Linked DNA regions of Cricetulus griseus. The protein of the gene in region 1 interacts with the protein of each later gene in a pairwise test. Links are inferred from orthologs where the notes say so. Each region holds a gene or a part of one and is shown in the gene's direction. Other genes may lie near its edges.

Region 1 (3,387 bases):
TAGAGATTGAACCCAAAGCCTCAAACATTCTAGGGAAGTGTTCTGTCGCTGAGCTACATGTTCACATACTCAGTAGGTTTTTTGTTTGAGTTTTTTGTTCGTTTGTTTTGTTTTGAGGCAAAGCATTATTTAGCTCAGGCTGGCCTTAAACCCCTGATCCTCCTACCTCCACTTCCCAGGTGCAGGGATACCTGGTGTGTGCCACCACAACCCCAGACGCTAAATATAACTCCAAGACTTTATGTATGCTAAGGGAATTGCTCCACCAACTGAGTTACATTCCCAGTCCCCAGCCTTCTTTTTATTTTTCATTTTGAGATAGGATCTTACTAAGTTGCCCAGTCTGGCCTCCAACTTTCAACTGGAGGATTGCTTCAGCCTCCCAGGTAGCTGAGATTGGAGGCCTCTATCACCAGACTCAGTTTAACTAAATATTTTTCACTTACTTATCTAAATTATGTATGTGTGTGGCTATATACACAAGTGCAGGTGCCCACAGTGGCTAGAGGCATTGGATCCCCTGGAACTACACTTAAATGCAGTTGTGAGTAAGGCAGTGTGGCTGCTGAGGACCACACCTGGATCCTCTGGAAGATTAGTGTCCACTTTTAACCACTGAGCCTTCCCTTTTGCCCCTGCCTGGAGACTTGTAACTGAATTAGAGAGTCCATGGGGCTACCTGGCCAGCAGTGTCTAACTGACTGTTCTCCAATGTCTCTGGGTAAGCCACATTGCCTGGGATCCTACTGGCAGTCAGTCCTCTAGCCATCACAATGAAAGCTGAATGTGCTGGATAGTCTGAGAGGAGAAAGGTTAGTTCTACTAAAGGACCTTATGGAACTGGAACAAGAGCACTAAGAGGAGCTAGAAGGAGCCTATATACATACCTTACTCACCTTGGAGTCACTGTCCCTCTCTACTGCTGTGCTTAAAATTAAAAAAACACCTTAAACTAAAAGAAAAAAGCAGGGCTGGTGAGATGGCTTAGTAGGTAAAGGCACTTGCTGCCAAGTCTGATGACCTGAGTTCAATCCCCAGAGCCCACATGGTGGGAGGAGAGAACTGACTCCTGCAAGTTGTCCTCTGACCTCTGGCACACATACACACAAACAAAGTACATAACTGTTGAAAGACAATCACACCTGTGGTTGTAGAGGGGCAGTAGAGAGTATGGGCGTTGATACCAGTGCGTTTTCTGCCAGCTACATCAACTGCATGTCGCCGGACCAAGCACATGTGCCCCAGTTTTCCTTCTACGATGGAGATTGTGAGAATTAGATTCAATGTAAACACTTAAACAGTCCCTGGCACTTTGAGTTTTGTGAGTTGGTACCTGAGCTCATGGCCCTCCCTGAAAAGCTTAGGTTCCCACTGGACAGGCCTGGAAATAGATATACTTATGCTGCTTCTGGTAGAACTGTACTTGTTCAGGCTAGGAAAAGCTATGGCTCTGTCTTTTGCTTTCTCAAGTATGCCTTCACACTCCTAAATGAGACTCTTCCAGGCTCTCGCAGGAAGATGGGTCTCTATCGTTGCTTATCAAACCGTTCACTTGGAGGAGTAATCACTGGGGGATTGGGCGGGGGACTCAAAAGAAATTCTGTGGGGGACCCTAGAGAGATCTCTTCATGTGTTCTGAAGAAATTCATTTAGCAGTTGTGTATTGAGGACCAGTTCTGAGTGGGTAGGTAGTGTTGTGAAGGGAACAGAGGTGGCTACAGATGCGGAACTGAAGGATGTAAAAGGATCAGTCAGATAGATCCAAGAATGCTTGGAGTAGAGGAAATATAAGTGCAAAGGCACCGAGATGGGAAAGAATTAGGTCAAAGAATGAGGAGGAAGGGGAATGGGCCTTCCGTGATGATGACATGGTAGAGCCTAATCGGAAGCAGCTTGAATGGAATGGGAGACTGGTCTAGTCTCTACGTGACCTTGTGTGTGACCTCTTCTCTCCTAACTTCCCTACCAGGCCCAGCTTGCCAGGGCACTCTACGATAACACTGCAGAGTCCCCCCAGGAGCTGTCGTTCCGCAGAGGGGATGTTCTACGGGTACTGCAGAGGGAGGGTGCCGGTGGACTGGATGGCTGGTGCCTTTGCTCCCTGCATGGCCAGCAGGGTATTGTGCCTGCTAACCGAGTGAAGCTCCTTCCTGCTGGTCCAGCACCCAAGCCAAGTCTCACCTCAGCATCTCCCACCCAACCTGGCTCATGTCCCACCCCAGAGCATGGCAGTGAGGAGCAAGAGGTAAGAACTGGAGCCCCTCATCATCTCAGGCCTGGCCGTCTTTGCCCCCTCCAGGGCCTGGGGATGGGTGTCAGGGAGGTCTTGGCTGAGACCTTGTCCTTTCACTGAGTGATGACAGATGTGTGTCTGCCCCCTACTCCTGAGCTCAGCACAGGGAGTGTGGAGGGAGCAGACTACAGTGCTTAAGCTCCTGAAGTTGCACCTGTGTCAATGAATTCCACTGCTGACATTTCCACCTCTTCATCCCTAGGTGTATGTGGTACCACCACCAGCTCGACCCTGCCCTGCCTCAGGACCTCTAGCTAGATCGTGCTCATCCTCTCCTGACTCCATCTACAAGGTCCCCAGAGTCAATGGGACACAGCTAACTGCCCCCAGAGATGTGTTAGAGGTTAGAGCTCTGTGTGTGTTGGGTGAGAGCCTGAATTCTCAGGGGTGGTCTGCTGCTGAGCTGGAGGCTAACCCTGGTCCCTCCCTCCAGGTCTATGATGTGCCTCCCAGCATCCTCCGGGCTCCCTCCAGCTGTCCCTATGACTCCCCAGCTTCCTTCTCCTGTCCTCTGGCTCCAGCTGTCCCTCAACCCCCTGGAGAGGATGAAGCTCCCTACGATGTGCCTTTGGCCTTGAAGCCATCTGCCGAGCTGGAGCCAGATCTGGAGTGGGAAGGGGGCCGGGAACCAGGGCCTCCCCTCTATTCTGCCCCTTCGAACCTGAAACGGGCCTCAGCTCTCCTCAACCTGTATGAAGCCCCCGAGGAACTACTGGCAAATGGGGAAAGCAGGGACTCAGATGAAGGCATCTATGACGTGCCTCTGCTGGGACCAGAGTCACCATCTCCAGAGTCCCCAGGAGCTTCTTCCTCCGCTGACCTGGACACTGTGGCCCAGCTTCTGACCAAAAGCCCTCCACTCCAGCACAGGCCTCGGCTGCCCTCCACCGAGAGCCTGTCCCGCCGCCCTCTGCCTGCCTTGCCTGTCTCTGAGGCTCCCACCCCTTCCCCAGCTCCGTCTCCTGCCCCAGGTCGAAAGGGCAGCATCCAGGACAGGCCTCTACCCCCTCCCCCACCCTGCCTGCCTGGTTATGGGGGCCTCAAACCCGAGGGAGATCCAGAGTGCAGGGAGGTAGACGATGACTCAGCGGACC
Region 2 (3,943 bases), on another chromosome or scaffold:
AACGAGGGAAGCAGAATCTCTAGAGGATGGCTGCACATGGCATCGTCCTTGTCACTATTGGCACAGAGGCTAGAGAGGTGATGTCACTCAGAACTGGACTGACCTTGTAGCTCTCCAGTCTTAACACCTGCTACCACCCTCCACTACAGCTGTACATGGGGGTTTCATTTCCTTATATCTGTACTTTGTGGGCACAGAAAACACACAAACTCATACACATTCAGATACACACACACACACACACACACACACACACACACAGACACACTCAGATACAGACACATATATACTCATACACACTTGGACACACTCATACACATACATACTCATACACATTCAGACACACACAGACACATACTCATATACAGACACACATACACACCCACACACATACACATACAGACACACACTCAGATACACTCACACACACTCCTACACACACACACACACACACACACACACACACACACACACACAAACACTTATTTGTGTTTGCAGGGCACCAGCCTGTATATTATTGGAAGGACAAATTGTGACCCAGTGTGTGCCACCAACTCTCTCTGTGACCTGTGTAATCTCCTTGCCTCTCTGTGCCTCAGTTTTCCTGTCTCTGTCCAAAGGGCAGGGAAGACCTGCCCTCACACGTGCCTGCTAACTCGGACAGGGACAATCATGCTTGGATCTGTCTGCTGCTCTGGCCACCGTGAGGTTGGCACGTCCTGCTCACCAAGAGGAAACTGACACTCAAGCAGATGAATCATCTCACCCATGATCACGCAGTGACAAAGTAGCCAATCAAAAGTGAATGACCCCAGCCCACAGGCCTACCTCCAGCATAATCTTTATCACTGCCAGTGCATTGCCTGGGTACTGGGCCTTAGAATACACTACCCAATCCTGGGCCTGTCTCCTTGATTCCCATCCTATGAGCCAGCCCCCCTGACAGCTGTTGGCAGGTCCCCTGTGGCCCCCAGCCTAGTGGGCTCTGTTCCCAGAGCCTGTGGTTTGCTCCTCAGGCTTTCCAGGTCCCATGGGTTTGTGGAGTGCCCCCTGCCCCTGCTGCTGGCTGAGGAGGCCCTCAGGGGCTGGACTGGGGAGGCCCCAGCCCCCGCCCCCTGTGGAGAGGGTGGGAGGGTGGGGCTGTGGGAGTTTCACTAGTTTAAAAATACACAGAGGAAGCAAGTTGAGAGGGCAAGAGAAAGGGGAAGGGGTGGCGGGGAGGCCCTTCAACCTTGATGTCTTGAGCCTGGAGCAGCCACATGCTAGCAAGACAGGGGCTTTGCACAACTTGACAACATGACAGAGATGCCCAAGAAAACCGGCAAAAAGTTCAGTGAGTACAGACTGTCCACCCTCCTCTCTCCTTTTAGCTTGGCCCCTCTGCATCTGCTTCTCACCATTGTTTCCTTGTTTCTCTTTCTCTTTCTGACCATCTCTCTATCTCTCCCCAGAGTGTTACTGTCCACTTATGGCCCAGGGTGTCTCTCCATCTCCGTCTTTTCATTTCTGTCTTTCCCTCTCTCTCCTCCACCTCTGCTTCTCTCTTGCTACACCCAGCCTCTCAGCCTTCACATCACTGGCATCCTGGCCTCTCTCTGACCTTGAAGCTGTGTGGGGAGAGACCCCCACATACCCTAATTTGTCTGGAACCCAGCTCAACACCAGATCTCAGGGAGATCTCTAAGGAGCTAGAGGATGATGGATGCTGTCATATGTCCCTACCAGTAGCGAGGCTGGGAGCTACTGGGTGAACTATGCCATTCACTGCTATTTCTTTCTCCGGGTCTATTCATTTTGGGGCCCCAAACTTCTGTTCTTTGACTCCGCTGTCCTTCCTGTGTGTGTGTGTGTGTGTGTGTGTGAGAGAGAGAGAGAGAGAGAGAGAGAGAGAGAGAGAGAGAGAGAGAGAGAGAGAGAGAGAGAGAGAGAGAGAGAGAGAGAGCCGGTACTGTATCTCACAGATGGAGATACACACCTCTGTAATCCCAGCAATCAGAAAGCAGAGGCAGGAGGCTCATGAGCAGAACCTGACTACAGAGTGAGACACTTTCTCAAATAAACAACAAAACAAAACAAAATCTGTACTACTGAAAGAGGAGGCAATCAGTGGCCCTTCTGCTAAATACTAGTGAAACCTCTGTCCCAGGGCAGCCTTTCTAGAAGCAGGGCAGTAGCCAGCCCTGTCTGGACTAGGATCAAGGGGAATGGGCAGGAAAAAATTCCCAGGTCCTGAGCCCAGAGCTTCCACCCAGGCTCAGCCCCATTCTCACTGTGCACATCCCTTCCCCCTCTCTGGGCCATGGATTCTGTCTGTGTCAAATGTGGGCATGATGCTTATATTCCATTGGGTGTATGATGCAGAGAAGGATGCAGAGGAGGCCAGGGAAGTAGAAATGTCAGTGTTTCCCCCTTTTGCTCATCTCATTTGAAGGCCCTACAGAAGTCAGAAGATAGCACTGTGAGAAGGGACAGTCCCACAGTCTGGGGGTGATGTAGGGAGGAGTGATCAGACAGAATATACTTCCGTCCTTGATGGAAGACGCTATGACAGGATCCCTGCCTGTGGAGTTTGGAACATGGGCTCAGCCCATGGAGGCAAAAAACACCCATAGATAGGGACCAGCAATCCTCAGGCTGGCTGCTGCACCTATATCCTTTCAACCCAGGTGCCAGAGGCTGCCTTGGACACCACTCCTTACCCTCTACCCCTCTGTTTTTTGTTTTGTTGTTGTTGTTGTTGTTGTTGTTGTTGTTGTTGTTTTTTCCCGAGATAGGGTTTCTCTGTGTAGCTTTGGAGCCTATCCTGGCACTTGCTCTGGAGACCAGGCTGGCCTCGAACTCACAGAGATCCTCCTGCCTCTGCCTCCCGAGTGCTGTAATCAAAGGCGTTTGCCACCAACGTCCGGCTAAAACAGATTTCTTTAAAACATTGTATTAAAAATTATATCGTCAGACAGTGGTGGTGCACACCACAATCACAGCACTCAGGAGGCAGAGGCAGATGGATCTCTGTGAGTTTGAGGCCAGCCTGGTCTAATGAGTGAGTTCCAGGACAGCCAGAGCTACACAGAGAAACCCTGTCTAGGTGAGGTGCTGTCCTTGAACCTTCTTTGTACCCTCACTGAGGGACCTGTGGTGGTTCTCATTGTTACTACCTGCTGACACTGTCATTAATCCTTTTTCCTCTCCTCCTCTCTTGCCAGAGTTTTTCAAGTTCAAGGGTCTTGGAAGCCTTTCCAATCTCCCTCGGTCCTTTTCTTTGAGACGGTCTTCAGCCTCCATTAGTATCCGATCTTATCTGGAGCCTGACACCTTTGAAGCCACACAGGATGACATGGTGACAGTCCCCAAGAGTCCTCCTGCCTATGCTCGTTCCAGTGACATGTACAGCCACATGGGTACCATGCCTCGACCTAACATCAAGAAGGTTCGGCAACAACAGGCTGCCCAGAAGGCCCAAGAGGTCAGCCTTCAGTCCCACCTGGTGCCTCAAGGCTTAGAGGCAGCCAAGGAGGCAGTGGAGAGAAAGGATGCCCCACTGGAGGACACCCCAGGAGTGGGACCTACACCTTCAGCAGTAGAAGTGGACCCTCTGAGGAAGCCCGAGGAACCCAGAGTAGACACAAAGGAGGAACAAATTCCTGGGGATGTGTACCCAGAAAGGTAGGTGCCATCAGGGATAGGGAAGGCAGAAAATGTGCAGATGGGTTTCTAGCCCTCTCTAGTTGGTACAGCTTCAACACAAACGTCTGGCCTGAAACTGTAAGTGGTGCATCCTGCAATCCCAGCAATGAGGTAGCTGAGGCTGGAGGCTTGCTGTGAATTTGAGAGGTCAATCTGGACTACAGAATGAGACCTCTCACAAAACAAAATGAACAAAACACAAAACAAAATAAGGAAATAAAGCGAGTAAGTGGCAAGTGGGTTAGGTATATAGATCAGG
Region 3 (3,500 bases), on another chromosome or scaffold:
TTTTAGGATTTGCTGATTAATGCATCACAAATGGAGCTTACAGTGATGAAATTGATTTAAAAGCAAAACAAGGAGTAAAAGCCATTTTCTTGTGTTTTTTATAAGTGTAAAATTCTTTCAGGCAACTTGAGCTGGTTGAGAGAGTGCTTGGACAACCGAGTGGGTGTAAACGGCCTGGACAAAGCTGGAAGCACAGCCCTGTACTGGGCCTGCCACGGGGGCCACAAAGGTACTGCATCTTGCTAGATACATGTGTCTGTGCTGTTCAGAATCACCTTCACCCAAGGGAGCCTCCTTTCTTATCATGGTAAAAGCAATGCTGCAGATCCTCCAAAGTCCGCCAAAAGCTGTGTTTCTGGAAACTGCAGAGCAGTGAGGATGGAATGTGACTGAGGAGACCCACTGTGCAGACCTCTGGAAAGGCTGGGAATTTCCTTTCCTCTCTCAGGCTTCAGAATGTATCAGAAAAATGCCAGTAACAGGATAACAAACCCACTGCCACATGCCACAGAGGAAGGCCCAGTTGGCTCCTGTAGCTTTTCCCTAGCTATGCTTTTGGTCCTACATTTTAAGTTTAAGTTTAATGAAAAAAATTAAGAAGTACCACACTGGCTTAAGTTTGCAGTTCTCTTGCAAACAGTAATAATTGCAAGGTGAATTCTGTTTACTTCATTGTAGTCCAAACCCCACCATCCACTCCTTTTCACCAACTGAGCTATACCTTCAGGTCTGAAAATTTTCTTTTGTGATCTATCATTTAGGGTTTTTGTTTAGTTTTTAATATAAAATTTGAGAAACTTGTAAGCATTTTCTAGAACATTCTCCTAACAAGTATTATCTTTTGCAATTATGCTATCTGCTTTTACAAAGTTCACTGTTTCTGTCTTAAGAAACTCCTTTTTCTGTTTGAATTGCAGACATAGTGGAGGTTCTGTTTACTCAGCCAAACGTGGAGCTGAACCAGCAGGTGAGCCTGCTTATCATGGGGAACACATTTAGCACACCCAGCTCTTTCTCTAATGCTACAAGCACACAGAGTTTTGTTGCTGTGACTGTTGTTTTGTGTTGTGGTACTGGGGTCTGAAGCCAAGTCCTCACACTGTTCAGCTGTGTGTCAAGAGCTACATCCTCCATCCTTAAGTGCTATTCTCTGGTCCTAGAACACATGCTAGAGATAATCAGCTTACAGAGAGAAAAGGTTTCTGTCTGTACCAGTTTGGGAAGTGCTGTTCCACCATCAGGTTACCCCATTGCTCTTGGGCTGGTACCAAGGTGAGCGAGCATGTGGTGGTGCCAATCGGCTGGCTGGCTGCATCTCCAGTGAACAATCTCACCACCCCATTAAGCACACACCCCAGGGTATGAAGGTTTTCCACTCACCCCTCTCCCCAAGACTTTACCACCCCCCTCTGAATAGCAGCATGCCACGAATCTCTGGGGACTCTTAAGATCCAAACTGCACCAAGGACCCTTCTTCTAAGGGCTCCTCTCTTACCCAGACTCCCAAATGTGAGCCTTAGGAGACAAACTCCCATTACTTCTAGTTCTGGCAGTTTGCAAGCTTCTGCTTGTAACCTGTCTTTTTCTTATTGGAGTCTTTGTCTTTGGTATTCTGAAAACTTACAAGGGTGTGCCTTAGTGCTATTTTTCCCTAGTGAGTACCACAAAGTCTTTTAGTCTGAGAAATTGTCTTGTTTCCTTTTCTACATCTAATCATTTTCTCTGTTCTTTTGATTCTACAGATTGAACCTCATATTTTCTTTTTTTAAATTAGGGATTTCTTGGCCTTTATCATTTTAAAATGATTTCCTTTTTAAAGGTTTTTAAAAATTATCTATGTATATACATACAATGTTTTGCTTGCTTTTATATTCACCACATGCATGTAGTACCAATGAAGGCCAGAAGAGGGCATCAGATTTCCCAGGGACTAGAGTTGAAGACAATTGTAAGCTTCCATGTGGTTGCTGGGAATTGAACTTGAGTCCTCTGGAAGAGCAGCCATTGAGTGCTCTTAATCACAGAGCCATCTCTGCAGCCCCAACTTTATTTTAATTGCCTCAAAGTTCTATATTCATTTTCTATTGCTATGTATCAAATTATCCCAGGTTTCACAATGTGTATTGGGTGGGTTGGAATTCTGAGCATGACATCACAAGATTTAGGATCTCACACTGTAAAGCCCAGGTTCCATTGGACCTGGGTTCTTGGAAAGCTTGAGATTCTCTTCTAAGCTCATTGCAGTTGCTGAGATTTGAGCTTTTTGCCCCCTAGTACTGATGCCCTCAGCTTTTGGATGCCCCATTCTTCTATTAATTAAGAGTTTACAAAATGAGTGTTTGCTGTCCTCCTCATGGCTAGTAGGTGGTGGTGTTTGCTCTACCATTTAACTTTTGTTTTTAAAAGCCTTCCTGACTAGATGTGGCCTACCCAGAATAACCTCCCTTTTAGTGAACCCAATACATATTGTCTGCAAAGTGATGGGCTTCTTATTTTTGAATATGAGGTCTTACTGTGTATCCCAGGCTGGCCTTAAACTTGCTGTGTAGACCAGGATAGACTTGAACTCACAGAGATCCACCTATCTCTGTCTTCTGAGTGCTAGGATTAAAGGAATGCACTGCAGTGTCCAGCCAAGAGGAGTGATGCCTTTGTATTCTCTGACTTCACCCACACTTGAGGACAAGAGAGTTGTATATAGGGTCTCTTGGGGGACAAGGGAGAGCAGGTATTATTGGGGTTATCTGAGAAGTTTGTTGACCACAAGCTCTTATTTTACTCTTTTAATGGTGTCTTTTTCTTGTTTGATTATAGTACCACCTTATATGACTGATATATTATTACTTTAAAAAATGTTCTCTTCTCTCCCAGAGCCTTTTCTTTCATTTAAGCTGACCTCTATTCAAACACTTAAGCTGTTTTCAAACACCCAGTGTTTTGGTTCATCTATTTATCTGTGTGATTGGAAGCTATGTGCACTTGGTGGCAGGGGAGGGTGCTTCTTGATGGACATGATGAGGTCCCTCCTGTATTGAGTATGCTGACATAAATGCCACACCTCCCCCTACGGAGGGGCCATACTGTTTGGCAGAGGTGATCTGCACTCTCCTGGCCTAAGTCACCACCTTTCACTCCACTCCCTGGGCAAAGAGGTGATTAAAAGTAGCGGAGTGAAAGATCTTACAGTTCATCTTATAGGTTTTCATCTGACTGGCTCTTGTCACCTTCTCTCATACCATTGTGCATGAGCTGGGGAACTCGGGTAATTTCTCAGCAAGGTAATTCTACTGCTGTTAGTGGGACATCTGCCAGTGACTGGTCCAGGGGTTCCAATGATGTTGTGTTAATCCATTTGGCCACTCCTATTTCCTCTCCATGCCTCATTCTTGCCCAGTACCTCTAGGAATGTTCAGTTCCTGACTGTTGCTGGGTCTCCTCATTTCCTGTTGAGGCCTTGCTCTGCCATGTTAGTTTTCTTCCCCCATCCCTGCCAGAGCAGC
Region 4 (3,936 bases), on another chromosome or scaffold:
CATCTCTTTCACCTAAAAGTTCAAAGACACCCCTGCCATTTATAAAACTTTATGGCAGATCCCTAAAGTGACAGTGAGGCTGTACAGGAACTCATGTGCCTGATGGATAAATCAACCCTGCTTTGGAGAGTGGGGAGCAGTTAGGTTTTCTTAACCCAGTTCACGAGTATCAGAAACAGGTAGAAAAAGGGACCTGAGGTTCCCCACCACACACAAAACTCCAAGGGAGTACCTAAAGTATTTAATCACACCACACAAACAAAGCACTAAGTGCCGGGCACCGGTGAGAGGACTCTGTCCCCTGCACACGAGGTTTGGTTTACTCCCAGTACCTCCTTTGAGCCAAGCTAGACTTCTGTGATGCAGCGTTTCATTACGAGGCAATAAGCCACCAGCCATCGCTGTCCAAAGCTGAAACACTGGCACAAAGCCACACTTGAGCGGACAGTTGGGACACCAGGTGCCTCCACAAGCAGCTCCCAGCCCCCTGATTTCCACTCAGCCCAGAAGCAGCTCCTGGCCAGTGGCTCCCAGAGCGCGCGGCGCTGGACGGACGTGGGTCCAAAGGCGACATCCTCGAGGCTCCGAACCCAGGTACACTCCAACTTGTGCCCGAGCAGGGGACGCCCAGAGGCCCGCGGCCAGGCCTCGCTAGTGCCTTGCCGAGGCGCAGGGGCCGCCCTGCTGCCGCGGGTGGAAGGACGCCCCCAGCCCCACCCCGACCGCGCCCCCACCCCCGGCGCCGCGCACCTGGCCGCAGCGGCTCGGTGACAGTGAGAACCAGCAGGAAGAGCAGCAGGAAGGCACCGCTGTCTGCCTTGGGCACCATTTATCCTCCGTTCATCGTCCCCGGGGCAGCTGTGTGACCCCGCGGGGAGGCCGGACCTAGCCCAGATGAGGGCGTGAGGGCCGGACTCGGGCCGGGCAGAGAGGCTGAGGGTGAGGGTTCCAGCTGGGCCGCCGCGACGCTGGGCCGCTGCAAGGGAACGCCGCCGGCTCGCGCGCACTCTAGGCCGCAGAAGCGGGACGGGATTCCGGCTCCCGCAAGATGGCGGCCGTCCTGCTCGGGCCCGCGCGACCCCGCCTCCAGCCCACACTAACCAATGAACGCCGAGCCGGGCGGAGGGGGCGGAGGGAAGCCAGGACGGGCGCGCTCCAAACGCGGGGCGGGGCGTGAACTGGAGGGCTGGAGAGGCCAGGCCGAGGCACGGAGCGGCAGTGGGCGGGCTTATAGGAAATGAAGCATGCCATTGGCTGAGCCGAGAGGCGGGACTCCGGGACTGAGCCCAGGCTGCGAGGTGGCCAAAGGGGTCCCTAGTGCTGGTTGGGGATCACAAGGACCGACAGTGTACGCCCCCTATCTGGAGTGGGAACCTGGGATTAGAGAACTGAGGAGGCAGCGCGGGACCCGAACGATTTTTACTCAGGAGGCCCAGGTCCGTCCCAATGCCTGCCTAACACGTCCTAAAGGTGCCTTCTAAAGGCCGAACCCCTGTGAAGAAAGTGAAGAAATCTAGAGGGCTGGCATGTTCTAAGAATGGAGAAGGCACACAAAATTTCAACAGAGGAGGAAAATGGCCTAAGGAATGTCAGAAACAGAGAAGCCCAGATCCACTGGACCAGATCTCGGGAAGGTCTTATCAGTGAAGGAGAAAAACCCAGGCACTGATGAGGCTACAGTCTGGAAACGAGGCTCCATGTGCCCACCTCACACTTGTCCTCATGAACAGCATGAATGTGTAAGAAGTGACAGCAGATGGAGAAGCTATCTGTTTGGGGGAAGGGCCATATGTACAGGTCCCGCAGTGGATGATCGGGCAAGGAAGTGAGAAAGGGGAAAGCCAGTCACCTCCAGCATACTGGACTCACTTTAGTACACCTCCAACAAGTCCCAGAATTTCAACCTGTTTTACCTGGAGCCATGTGAGTGGCTCCTTATAGGTGGATAAAGTCAAGTTCAAACCCAAGATTAGGACAAATCATCAGATATTCAAACTTCCATATTTCTTGGCCCAGGGCAGATGTTGGACACAGGTATGGTCAAAACTGAGGGGGCCCCTGCCCCTTGCTGGCAGAAGCAAAGATACCTATCCAGCACTGCCCTTGGCATTTGTACAGTCCTGGTGACACATGCCCAGCACTCAGTACAAGATCCAGGCCCAGCCTTCTGCCCCCACACCAACCCCCACACCAAATCTGCCTTGGGAGTCCAGCAAGAGCCATGAGTTGGGCAGGTCCTTAGGGAGGGAATTCACAGCCAAGTGCAGAATTCCTGCCCACTGTCCACCTGCAGCACCGTTAGACCAGGAAAAGTTTGTGAGAAAAGCGAAGGACAAGAGGTGAACAGACCAGCTGAACCCCACAATGAAAGCACACTGGTAACCCCTAAACGTACAAACACTGTGCCAGAGAAGGTAAAGGACCCGAAGAAAATAATCCTTTAAAAGATGAACCCTCAGCTGGGTGTTGGTGGTGCACACCTTTAATCCTGGCACTCAGGAGGCAGAGGCAGGCAGATCTCTAAGTTCGAGGCCAGCCTGATCTACAGAGCTACATAGAGAAACCCTGTCTCGATAAACAAAAACAAAACAAAACAGATGAACCCTCACCCATCTTGGCCCTATTCTATGCCTTTGAGGGCTGCCTATGTGACAGCATTAAGAGCTAAAGGGGTGGTGTGTGTGGGGGGGTTACAAATGGTTTCCTTATCACTGGCCCATGAAGGGGTGGCCTTCTCCATTGCCTTCTCCTACCTTAGGGAACTACATTACCTACAGGATTCCCTACATTTTGCTCCCACCTTTGTTTTTCACCCCTTTATCAAGACTTCTGATTATCCTTAATTGAGTCTACCATCTGTTTCCTGTCGGGACCCTTGACTGATAGAACCACCACCCTGGATCCCCTGGATTGACCTGGTTTGCAATTATGAGCCATGTTTCTATATAGCAGTTTAGTTTTTAGTTTTAGAAATGTGGGCAGACCTTTGGGTCTCAGCCCTCTCTTACCTCAGGTTGGAGCCAAGCATGAAGCCTTTTTGTTCACTTTTAGTTTGCTCCAGTACATGCGCAGACCTTCCAGGTTCTAAGTCCAAGTGGCTCAGGTAATAGCCTCATTTCCCCCAGAGCACTACTCCTTTGTGACTTCACCCACTGAAGTCACCCCCGGAGACAGTGCTGAGTGTTCCATGCTCGAGTCTTGGCCTCTTAGGAGGCAGGGACAGCAGGCCTGGCCAGCTCAGAGGACTCTCTGTCCACAGTGTAAATGAGGACGCTGCTGGCCCATGTCTGGCAGGGATGTAGAGGGCAGCCTCAGAGGCACTGGGCACTCCCGGCACCATGGATGACGCTGCCGTCCTCAAGCGACGAGGCTACATCATGGGGATAAACTTGGGAGAGGGCTCATATGCCAAAGTCAAATCCGCCTACTCTGAGCGCCTAAAGTTCAACGTGGCGGTCAAGATCATCGATCGCAAGAAAGCCCCCACGGACTTCCTGGAGAAATTCCTTCCCCGGGAGATTGAGATCCTGGCCATGCTAAACCACCGCTCTATTGTCAAGACCTATGAGATCTTTGAGACATCAGATGGCAAGGTCTACATTGTCATGGAGCTTGGGGTCCAGGGTGACCTCCTGGAATTCATCAAAACTAGAGGAGCCCTGCAAGAGGATGATGCTCGAAAGAAGTTCCATCAGCTCTCCTCTGCCATCAAGTACTGCCATGATCTGGATGTCGTCCACCGAGACCTCAAGTGCGAGAATCTTCTGCTTGACAAGGACTTCAACATCAAGCTGTCTGACTTCGGCTTCTCCAAGCGCTGCCTGCGGGATGATAGTGGTCGACTGACATTAAGTAAGACCTTCTGTGGGTCAGCGGCTTATGCAGCCCCCGAGGTGCTGCAGGGCATCCCCTACCAGCCCAAGGTGTATGACATCT
Region 5 (4,263 bases), on another chromosome or scaffold:
CAAAGCTGCTGCAGCCACGCCCGGCGCCGCGGGTTCCACAAGTTGTCCAGTGACATCCGAGTGCGCAGACGCACACGATAAATAAATAAATCAGTCAATATAAAGCAAGAACGCCCGGCGCTGATGGCGCACACCTTTAGTCCCAGCACTCGGGAGGCAGAGGTAGGCGGATCTCTGTGAGTTCGAGGCCAGCCTGGTCTCCAGAGCGAGTGCCAGGATAGGCTCCAAAGCTACACAGAGAAACCCTGTCTCGAAAAACCAAAAAAAAAAAAAAAAAAAAAAAAAAAAATTACCCAAGTGCACACCTTTAATCCCAGCACTCTGAAGGCAGAGGCAGGTGCATCTCTGAATTTGAGGCCAGCCTGGTCTACAAAGTGAGTTAGTTGCGGGACAGCCAGGGCTACACAGAGAAACCCTATCTTGAAAAACAAAAAACAAAACAACGGGCGCTCTGGAGGCAGAGGCAGGAGGATCACTGTGAGTTAGAGACCAGCCTGGTCTATACAGTGAGTTGCAGGACAGCCTCCAAAGCCACAGAGAAAGACTGTCTCAAAAAAATTAATAATAATAATAGGGGCTGGAGGGATGGCTCAGAGGTTAAGAGCACCGGCTGCTCTTCCAGAGGTCCTGAGTTCAATTCCCAGCAACCACACGGTGGCTCACAGCCATCCGTTATGAGATCTGGTGCCCTCTTCTGGTGTGCAGATATACATGGAAGTAGCATGTTGTATACATAATAAATAAATAAAATATTATAAATTAAAATATTAAATATTAAAATAATGGCGCCTTTGATCCCAGCACTCGGGAGGCAGAGGCAGGAGGATCTCTGTGAGTTCGGGGCCAGCCTGGTCTACGCAGTGAGACCCTGAAACCGAGAGTTCCCGGAGTCCCCCAGCACAAACCGCACCCTGCCCGTCCCCCAGGCCAGCTCGCCCAGGCCAGCTCGCGGGCCGCACAGACGCCAGGCGTTCACCCGAAAGGACGGCCGCCCAGGGGGACACCAAAGGGGAAGGACATCAACGCCCGCAGGGCCCTACCAGATCGCCGGAGCGCCGAACCGAGGGACCCGTCGCCTGGCGGAAGTGACTCCGCGTGGAGTCACGTGGGTGGACATCCGGCCAATAGGAAAGCGGTTAGACAAGCCGCTTCCGCGTTGCGTTTTTTTGTGTGAATTTTGGAAAAATCTATAGGGCACATGGTTTTGTTTGTTTCTTGGGATTTTTTTATTTGTTTGTTTTTGTTTTTAAATTAGGACCGTCACCCGAATCTGAGACTCGGCCAATGGGAATGTGCAAAGACCCGGAAGGAGCGAGGGACGCGAAGTGAGGGCGGAAGTGAGTTTAGCGTGCGCGGCCGGCGGAGGGACTCGGGGCCCCGCCCCCTCCCTCGTATCCCCCAATCGTCAGCGCGCGGGGGCGGGGGCTGCCTCCGAGCACCAATCAGCTCGGCTCTGCCTCCGGAGCGGACCAATGGGGAGCGGAGGGGTTGCCAGGGAGCGCGGGGGCGCGAGGCGGCGCATGGCGGACGCGGTGCTGTTCGAGTTTCTGCACACCGAGATGGTGGCCGAGCTGTGGGCCCCGGACCCAGACCCTGGCTCGGGGGTGAGCGGCACGGCGTGGCCTCGGGGGTGACTTCCCGGTGGAGGAGTGGGGTGCAGCCGGGCCAAGGCCGGGCATTGCTAAGGTGGAGTGCCATGGTGCCGGGCCCGGCCCTGCTGCTAATTAGGGTAATTGGCGATTATTAGGGGCGGGCGAGGGCTCGCCTCACCTCTCGCTTGTGGGCGACTCCCCGTGCTTCCGTTTCCTCCTTAGGAGATGCACCCCAACCGTCCCCCTGTCACCCGTCCCCGACGCCCCTGTGCCCCGGGGTAAATTAGTCTGTGCGGACCGCATTACCCCCAGCACACAGTGGGTCCTTTAGCAAGGATTTGGCCCCAGCAGTGAGGAAAGGCCCCACCCGGTGATGTGGAGGGTGTTGCTGGGATCACTGCAGGATTGTAACCCGTAATAGTCGCTGCCACTTACGTGTCCCTCGGTGCAGCGCTGGGCGTCACGCTCGCACTCGCGTGGCTCGTCCGCCCCATCCCGGGGCCGCCAGCCTGACCCTTCCGTGTGGCCACTGCTTGCACTCTGCTCTGACTCAGTAAAGGGCTTACAAGTAGCTTCCCGCCAGCCTGCAGAGCTGCGAGCTTGCCGCTGCCACCCAGCGGTCCCTTACTGGGGCCCCACAGCTGAGACTATAGAGTTGTTGGGGGTCCCAGGGACCTCCCTGACTTTGGCTGCTTGGCGGTTGTCACGCCTTCCTCTGGAGTTCAAAGCCTGCTGTAGGCACTGCTCTGCCCCTTCTGTTGCTTCCCTGACAGCCCGCTGCTCCCCCTGATGAGCACGAAGTTTGTGAGTTTGTGAGGCAGGTTTTCACTGCGTAGCCCAGGCTGAGGCTAGATCCCAGCCCCTCACTGGGGGACTCCAGGCAGGGGCTCTACCACTGAGCCACGCCCCAGCCCTCACTGGGGGATTCTAGGCAGGGGCACTACCCCTGAGCCACACCCCAGCCCTCACTGGGGGACTCCAGGCAGGGGCTCTACCACTGAGCCACACCCCAGCCCCTCACTGGGGGATCGCAGGGCTCTCCACTGATTCTAGGCAGGGGCTCTACCACTGAGCCACACCCCCAGCCCCTCACTGGGGGATTCTAGGCAGGGGCTCTACCACTGAGCCACACCCCCAGCCCCTCACTGGGGGATTCTAGGCAGGGGCTCTACCACTGAGCCACACCCCCAGCCCCTCACTGGGGGATTCTAGGCAGGGGCTCTACCACTGAGCCACACCCCCAGCCCCTCACTGGGGGATTCTAGGCAGGGGCTCTACCACTGAGCCACACCCCCAGCCCCTCACTGGGGGATTCTAGGCAGGGGCTCTACCACTGAGCCACGCCCCCAGCCCCTCACTGGGGGTGGCACTGGCTGGTCCTGCCTCTGCCTGGAAAGTGCTGGGATTAGAGGTGTGCAGACTCCAAACTAAACGTCCTCGCTCTGTTCCTTCTCTGACCTGAGAAATGCACCCCCAGATCAAACTTGGGCCCTGTGTGTCCGTGGTGTCCCCTGTGTGGTACGGTTGACCTCTGTATCCCGCAGAGCTGCACTCAGAGCCAAGGGCTCTCACTTACCTGTTGTAATCTCGGACACATGATCCTCCTGCCTACACGTCCCAGGTGCTGGGATTGGAAGCACCATTTTTCTTTTTCTTCCAGACAGGGTTTCTCTGTGGCTTTGGAGGCTGCCCTGGCACTCACTGTGTAAACCAGGCTGGCCTCGAACTCAGAGAGATCCGCCTGCTTCTGCCTCCCAAGTGCTGGGATTAAAGGCAGAGGAACAGATTTTTTTTTATTACATTTGTAATGATTATTCACAAACTTTTTAATTTCCTAAACTGTATGGTATAATTATATAGCAGTAACATTGCATTAGCTTTATAACCATCTAGGAAGGATTTACAGTCCATAAGAAGACGGGGATTGCTGGACTGTGGTGGTGCACACCTTTAGTCCCAACACTTGGGAGGCAGAGGCAGGCGGATCTCTCTGAGTTCAAGACCAGCCTGATCTATACAGCTAGTTCCAGGAAGGCCAGGGCTACATACATAAACCCTGTCTCGAGAAAAACAAAAAAGGCTGGGGTTCTGGCTCAGTGGTAGAATCCCAGCCTAGAATTCCCCAGTGAGGGACTGGGGGCGTGGCTCAGTGGTAGAATCCCAGCCTAGAATTCCCCAGTGAGGGACTGGGGGCGTGGCTCAGTGGTAGAGCCCCTGCCTAGAATCCCCCAGTGAGGGGCTGGGGGCGTGGCTCAGTGGTAGAGCCCCTGCTAGAATCCCCCAGTGAGGGGCTGGGGGTGGCTCAGTGGTAGAGCCCCCCCTAGAATGCCCCCAGTGAGGGCTGTGTGGCTCAGTGGTAGAGCCCCTGCCTAGAATCCCCCAGTGAGGGGCTGGGGGTGTGGCTCAGTGGTAGAGCCCCTGCCTAGAATCCCCCAGTGAGGGGCTGGGGGTGTGGCTCAGTGGTAGAGTCCCTGCCTGGAGTCCCCCAGTGAGGGGCTGGGATCTATCCTCAGCACAACAAAATAAAGCAAAGACTGTGGCAGAGACTGGGCTGTTGCAAACACTCCATCTCATCAGGAGGAATTTTACTGTTTATCTGTGGAAGTTAAGTGTCCAGGTTGTAGAACAGCACCTGAGGCAGGCAGAACATCCTTGTTTTGGAAGCAGCAAG
Region 6 (3,500 bases), about 170 Mb from region 1:
ACATATAACCTACCTGTGGCCTCCTATATACTCTGAAATATGTACAATGCCTCATGAAACACAAATGTTATTTAAAAGAGCTGTTAGGATTAGAGAAAGGGCTCAGTGGATAAGAGCAATTGCTGTTCTTGAAGAAACTCCAGGTTCAGTCCCCATGACAGTTCGCAACCATCTGTAACTGTAGTTCCAGGGGATCCTATGCCTTCATCTGTCCTCCATGGGCACCAGGCACTTGGTACGGTATGCAGACATATATACAGGCAAAACACTCATACACATAAATAAAAATGAGTAAATGTTACATAAGTGGTTATTATAATGGATCACGTGGGGAATAAAAACACAAGTTTGCACATGTTCAGTAGCAATCCAATTCTTAATATTTCCAGTGCACAGTCAGTTGAACCTACAGATATGAAGAGCCTATACAGTCCAGTCAGATATTCTTTAACTTGAAACTTCCCTTTAAAAATGAAGTTAAATATATTTTTAAAAATGAATATAAAGAAAGTTTTTAAATGTGAAGGAATAAATTTCTCACCATGCAACTTTGTGAGTAGGTTAGGTGTTAAGCCTTTATCTAGTTTCTTGCACATGTATTAACCTCTTCCAAGCCCCATCAAAGTGACACTGATTCCCTCTGTCAGTTCTGCAAGCATGGCTGGTGATTTTAGGAAACGGAGGAAAAGTGAACCTGCAGTGGGCCCACCCAGAGGTTTGGGGGATCAGAGTGTGAACAGGACCAGCCCGGGCCAGGCAGACCTCCCAGGATCAAGCTCCACATTTACGAAGTCTTTCATTAGTTCTTCTCCTTCCTCTCCATCAAGAGCCCAAGGTGAGCCACAATAAATGAACAAAGCTTGCTAGTTCACAATTTAGCCCAGAGTATGGGAGAGGGCCAATCCTATGATTGTGACTTACACTTGTTTTTCTTGTAGCGTCCTGAAGCAAATACCATCTCCCAGCAAAGCCTTTGCTTCTACCTAATCCAATTTAAGCTGGCAAACCATTTGAGTGTCATAAAGAACTCAGATTAACATTTGTTACCATTTTCTCAAAAATATGTTGAATTTATTATTTTTTAAAACTCAAAGTATTAAATAATTTATTTGTCATTTGTATAGAAATGCATTTATAGTCTTTTAGGTAGGCAAATTTTCTAATGTTATTATAGATAACTAATTAAATTTGTAAAATAAGAAGTATAAATAGCAACTGAAAAACATGCAATGGGGTACTTTAAATTCTGGATTAGAATGTAATTTATTTAAGGCATGCCTTTAGTCATTTACTCTATTTTGTTCAACCTTTATTTGTATGATAGAGTATCACATTCTACTATGCAATACAGTGGTCCACAATAGTTTACAATAAATACATACTGGCTTGAAGCCACAAATACAAAATTTAGAAATGAGAGGCCTTAATGAGATGACTCAGTAGGTAAAAGGCCCTTGCCACCAAGCTGGTCAACCTGAGTGTAATCACCAGTACTCATATAGTGAAAGAGAACATAACCCCACAAGTTGTCTTCTGACCTCTACTGAAATGTACACATACATGAGAGAGAGAAAGATGAAGGAAAGAAGGAAGGAAGTCCAACCACTTTTTCAGATGGCCTTCTCCTCTTTGGAAATGCAGTAAGCTAAGCATCAAAGGGACAGAGTTGCTCATTTGGGTCTCTGTTAGTTTACTTATGTCTTTTTTTTTTTCTTTTGAACCATGATCTATTGACTCAGTAGCATGCCAAATTTGGGGCCCCATAATCTCCTGTAGTCTTTGAAAGTTAAAATAGAAGAGAATAGGTTTTCAAAACATGTAAAGAAAATGAGTTATAATAGAAGTGTCTGTGAAGTAGGACAGAGTGGGGACATCTAACAATAGTCCGCACTAACCCTGTTGCCATACAGTGGCTAAAGTGAAGCAGTAGCTAGTTTGCAGAAGACTGTGATGACTGGTCTCTGTGTAGGTGGACAGCTGGGTGGCCTAAAACCTAACTAAGTCTCAGAAAGTAACTTGCTCATTACCTAACATGCCTTCATCATATCATATTCTACTCATCTACACAGCAAATATCATAAGTGACAAGTCAGTCATGAAATGCTATGGATCCATCATTCTTGGATACGATACAAAATGGAAAAGGATCCTGATAAGTTTAAGTATTTTTTTACCATAGAGAGTCAAGTCAAGTTCCTTTCCCAAGCATTATAAATTGAAGAATTCAGGGGAGGTTGCAATTCATAAATTGGTGATAGAGATAGCCACACTGTTAGCTTAATAGAGAAGAGTTGTGGTTTGGGAATGTCTTGTTGAACAAAAGACCATCGAATTATGCAGTAGGAATGTGTTAGCTACACCAAGTGTATTTCATGTGTGATTTGGTTTACTGTAGTATCTGCAAAGCTGCGCTGAAAAATATTATCGTGTTTTAGCATCAGGCATTCCTCTTTAATTGAAGCTGTGTGTGTGAAGGTACCTAGAAGCCATGCTAACTGTCTTCTCTTTGCTGTGCTAATACTGACATGCTTTCCTCACTTTGTGAACCTTTTAACTTCTCCAAATGTCTCTCTCCTGCCATGCTGCTCTGGATTGAAAGGTGGGGATGATAGCAAAATGTGTCCATCCCTTTGCAGTTACTCGGGGCTTAATGGCGCCCCCTCTAGTGAGTTAGAGTACTGTGGTGCCTATAGACAGCATTTGGATGTCCCCCGGGATTCTCAAAGGGCCATCACCTTCAAGAATGGATGGCAAATGGCCCGGCAAAATGCAGAGATCTGGAGCAGCACCGAAGAGACTGTGTCCCCCAAAATCAAATCACGTAGCTGTGATGATCTCCTGAATGACGACTGCGACAGCTTCCCAGACCCTAAAGCCAAGTCAGAAAGTATGGGTTCTCTGTTATGCGAAGAAGACTCCAAAGAGGGCTGCCCCATGATGTGGACTTCCCCGTACATCCAGGAAGTGTGCGGTAACAGCAGATCTAGAATCAAACACAGGTCTGCCCATAATGCCCCAGGCTTCCTCAAAATGTACAAGAAAATGCATCGCATCAACCGCAAGGATTTGATGAATTCAGAGGTAATTTGCTCTGTGAAGTCCAGGATACTGCAGTATGAAAAGGAACAGCAGCACAGGGGTCTGCTCCATGGATGGAGCCAGTCTTCCACCGAGGAGGTGCCCAGGGACATGGTACCCACCCGCATTTCGGAATTTGAAAAGCTGATACAGAAGTCGAAGTCCATGCCCAATCTAGGGGATGAGATGTTGTCTCCTGTAACCCTAGAACCCCAACAAAATGGTCTGTGTCCCAAGAGGCGGTTTTCTATTGAGTCTCTGCTGGAGGAAGAAACTCAGGGTAGACAGCCTTCTCAGGGTCAGCGAAACTGCAAGTCTAAAACTCTAGTGCCCATCCACATCGAAGTCACCAGTGACGAGCATCCCAGAACACACATAGAGTTTTCCGACAGTGACCAAGATGGAGTTGTGTCTGACCACAG

What was found.
Region 2: the proteins of Efs (region 1) and Sh2d3c interact in a two-hybrid assay, tested with the Homo sapiens proteins (2 studies listed by BioGRID and IntAct). The two-hybrid records come from large-scale screens. The link is inferred for Cricetulus griseus from reciprocal best matches to the Homo sapiens genes EFS and SH2D3C.
Region 3: the proteins of Efs (region 1) and Ostf1 interact in binary tests that used the Homo sapiens proteins (3 or more experiments, as listed by UniProt). The two-hybrid records come from large-scale screens. The link is inferred for Cricetulus griseus from reciprocal best matches to the Homo sapiens genes EFS and OSTF1.
Region 4: the proteins of Efs (region 1) and Tssk1b interact in binary tests that used the Homo sapiens proteins (3 or more experiments, as listed by UniProt). The two-hybrid records come from large-scale screens. The link is inferred for Cricetulus griseus from reciprocal best matches to the Homo sapiens genes EFS and TSSK1B.
Region 5: the proteins of Efs (region 1) and Trappc6a interact in binary tests that used the Homo sapiens proteins (3 or more experiments, as listed by UniProt). The two-hybrid records come from large-scale screens. The link is inferred for Cricetulus griseus from reciprocal best matches to the Homo sapiens genes EFS and TRAPPC6A.
Region 6: the proteins of Efs (region 1) and Sorbs2 interact in binary tests that used the Homo sapiens proteins (3 or more experiments, as listed by UniProt). The two-hybrid records come from large-scale screens. The link is inferred for Cricetulus griseus from reciprocal best matches to the Homo sapiens genes EFS and SORBS2.

What each region holds. Positions count from the first base shown.
Region 1 is NW_023276807.1:210,117,069-210,120,455, reverse strand, and holds part of Efs (embryonal Fyn-associated substrate), read left to right. Parts: intron 1-1,969; coding exon 1,970-2,245; intron 2,246-2,495; coding exon 2,496-2,636; intron 2,637-2,726; coding exon 2,727-3,387. UniProt on the Homo sapiens protein: Docking protein which plays a central coordinating role for tyrosine-kinase-based signaling related to cell adhesion. May serve as an activator of SRC and a downstream effector. Interacts with the SH3 domain of FYN and with CRK, SRC, and YES.
Region 2 is NC_048599.1:144,431,401-144,435,343, forward strand, and holds the start of Sh2d3c (SH2 domain-containing protein 3C), read left to right. Parts: upstream 1-1,143; 5' UTR 1,144-1,296; coding exon 1,297-1,333; intron 1,334-3,203; coding exon 3,204-3,663; intron 3,664-3,943. UniProt on the Homo sapiens protein: Acts as an adapter protein that mediates cell signaling pathways involved in cellular functions such as cell adhesion and migration, tissue organization, and the regulation of the immune response.
Region 3 is NC_048596.1:42,587,555-42,591,054, forward strand, and holds part of Ostf1 (osteoclast-stimulating factor 1), read left to right. Parts: intron 1-121; coding exon 122-229; intron 230-917; coding exon 918-967; intron 968-3,500.
Region 4 is NC_048597.1:71,397,292-71,401,227, reverse strand, and holds the start of Tssk1b (testis-specific serine/threonine-protein kinase 1), read left to right. Parts: upstream 1-1,136; 5' UTR 1,137-3,338; coding exon 3,339-3,936. Other genes in the region: Dgcr2 (integral membrane protein DGCR2/IDD), read right to left, coding at 751-829. UniProt on the Homo sapiens protein: Testis-specific serine/threonine-protein kinase required during spermatid development. Phosphorylates 'Ser-288' of TSKS. Involved in the late stages of spermatogenesis, during the reconstruction of the cytoplasm.
Region 5 is NC_048602.1:27,848,320-27,852,582, reverse strand, and holds the start of Trappc6a (trafficking protein particle complex subunit 6A), read left to right. Parts: upstream 1-1,463; 5' UTR 1,464-1,472; coding exon 1,473-1,604; intron 1,605-4,263. UniProt on the Homo sapiens protein: May play a role in vesicular transport during the biogenesis of melanosomes.
Region 6 is NW_023276807.1:40,745,006-40,748,505, reverse strand, and holds part of Sorbs2 (sorbin and SH3 domain-containing protein 2), read left to right. Parts: intron 1-647; coding exon 648-835; intron 836-2,599; coding exon 2,600-3,500. UniProt on the Homo sapiens protein: Adapter protein that plays a role in the assembling of signaling complexes, being a link between ABL kinases and actin cytoskeleton. Can form complex with ABL1 and CBL, thus promoting ubiquitination and degradation of ABL1.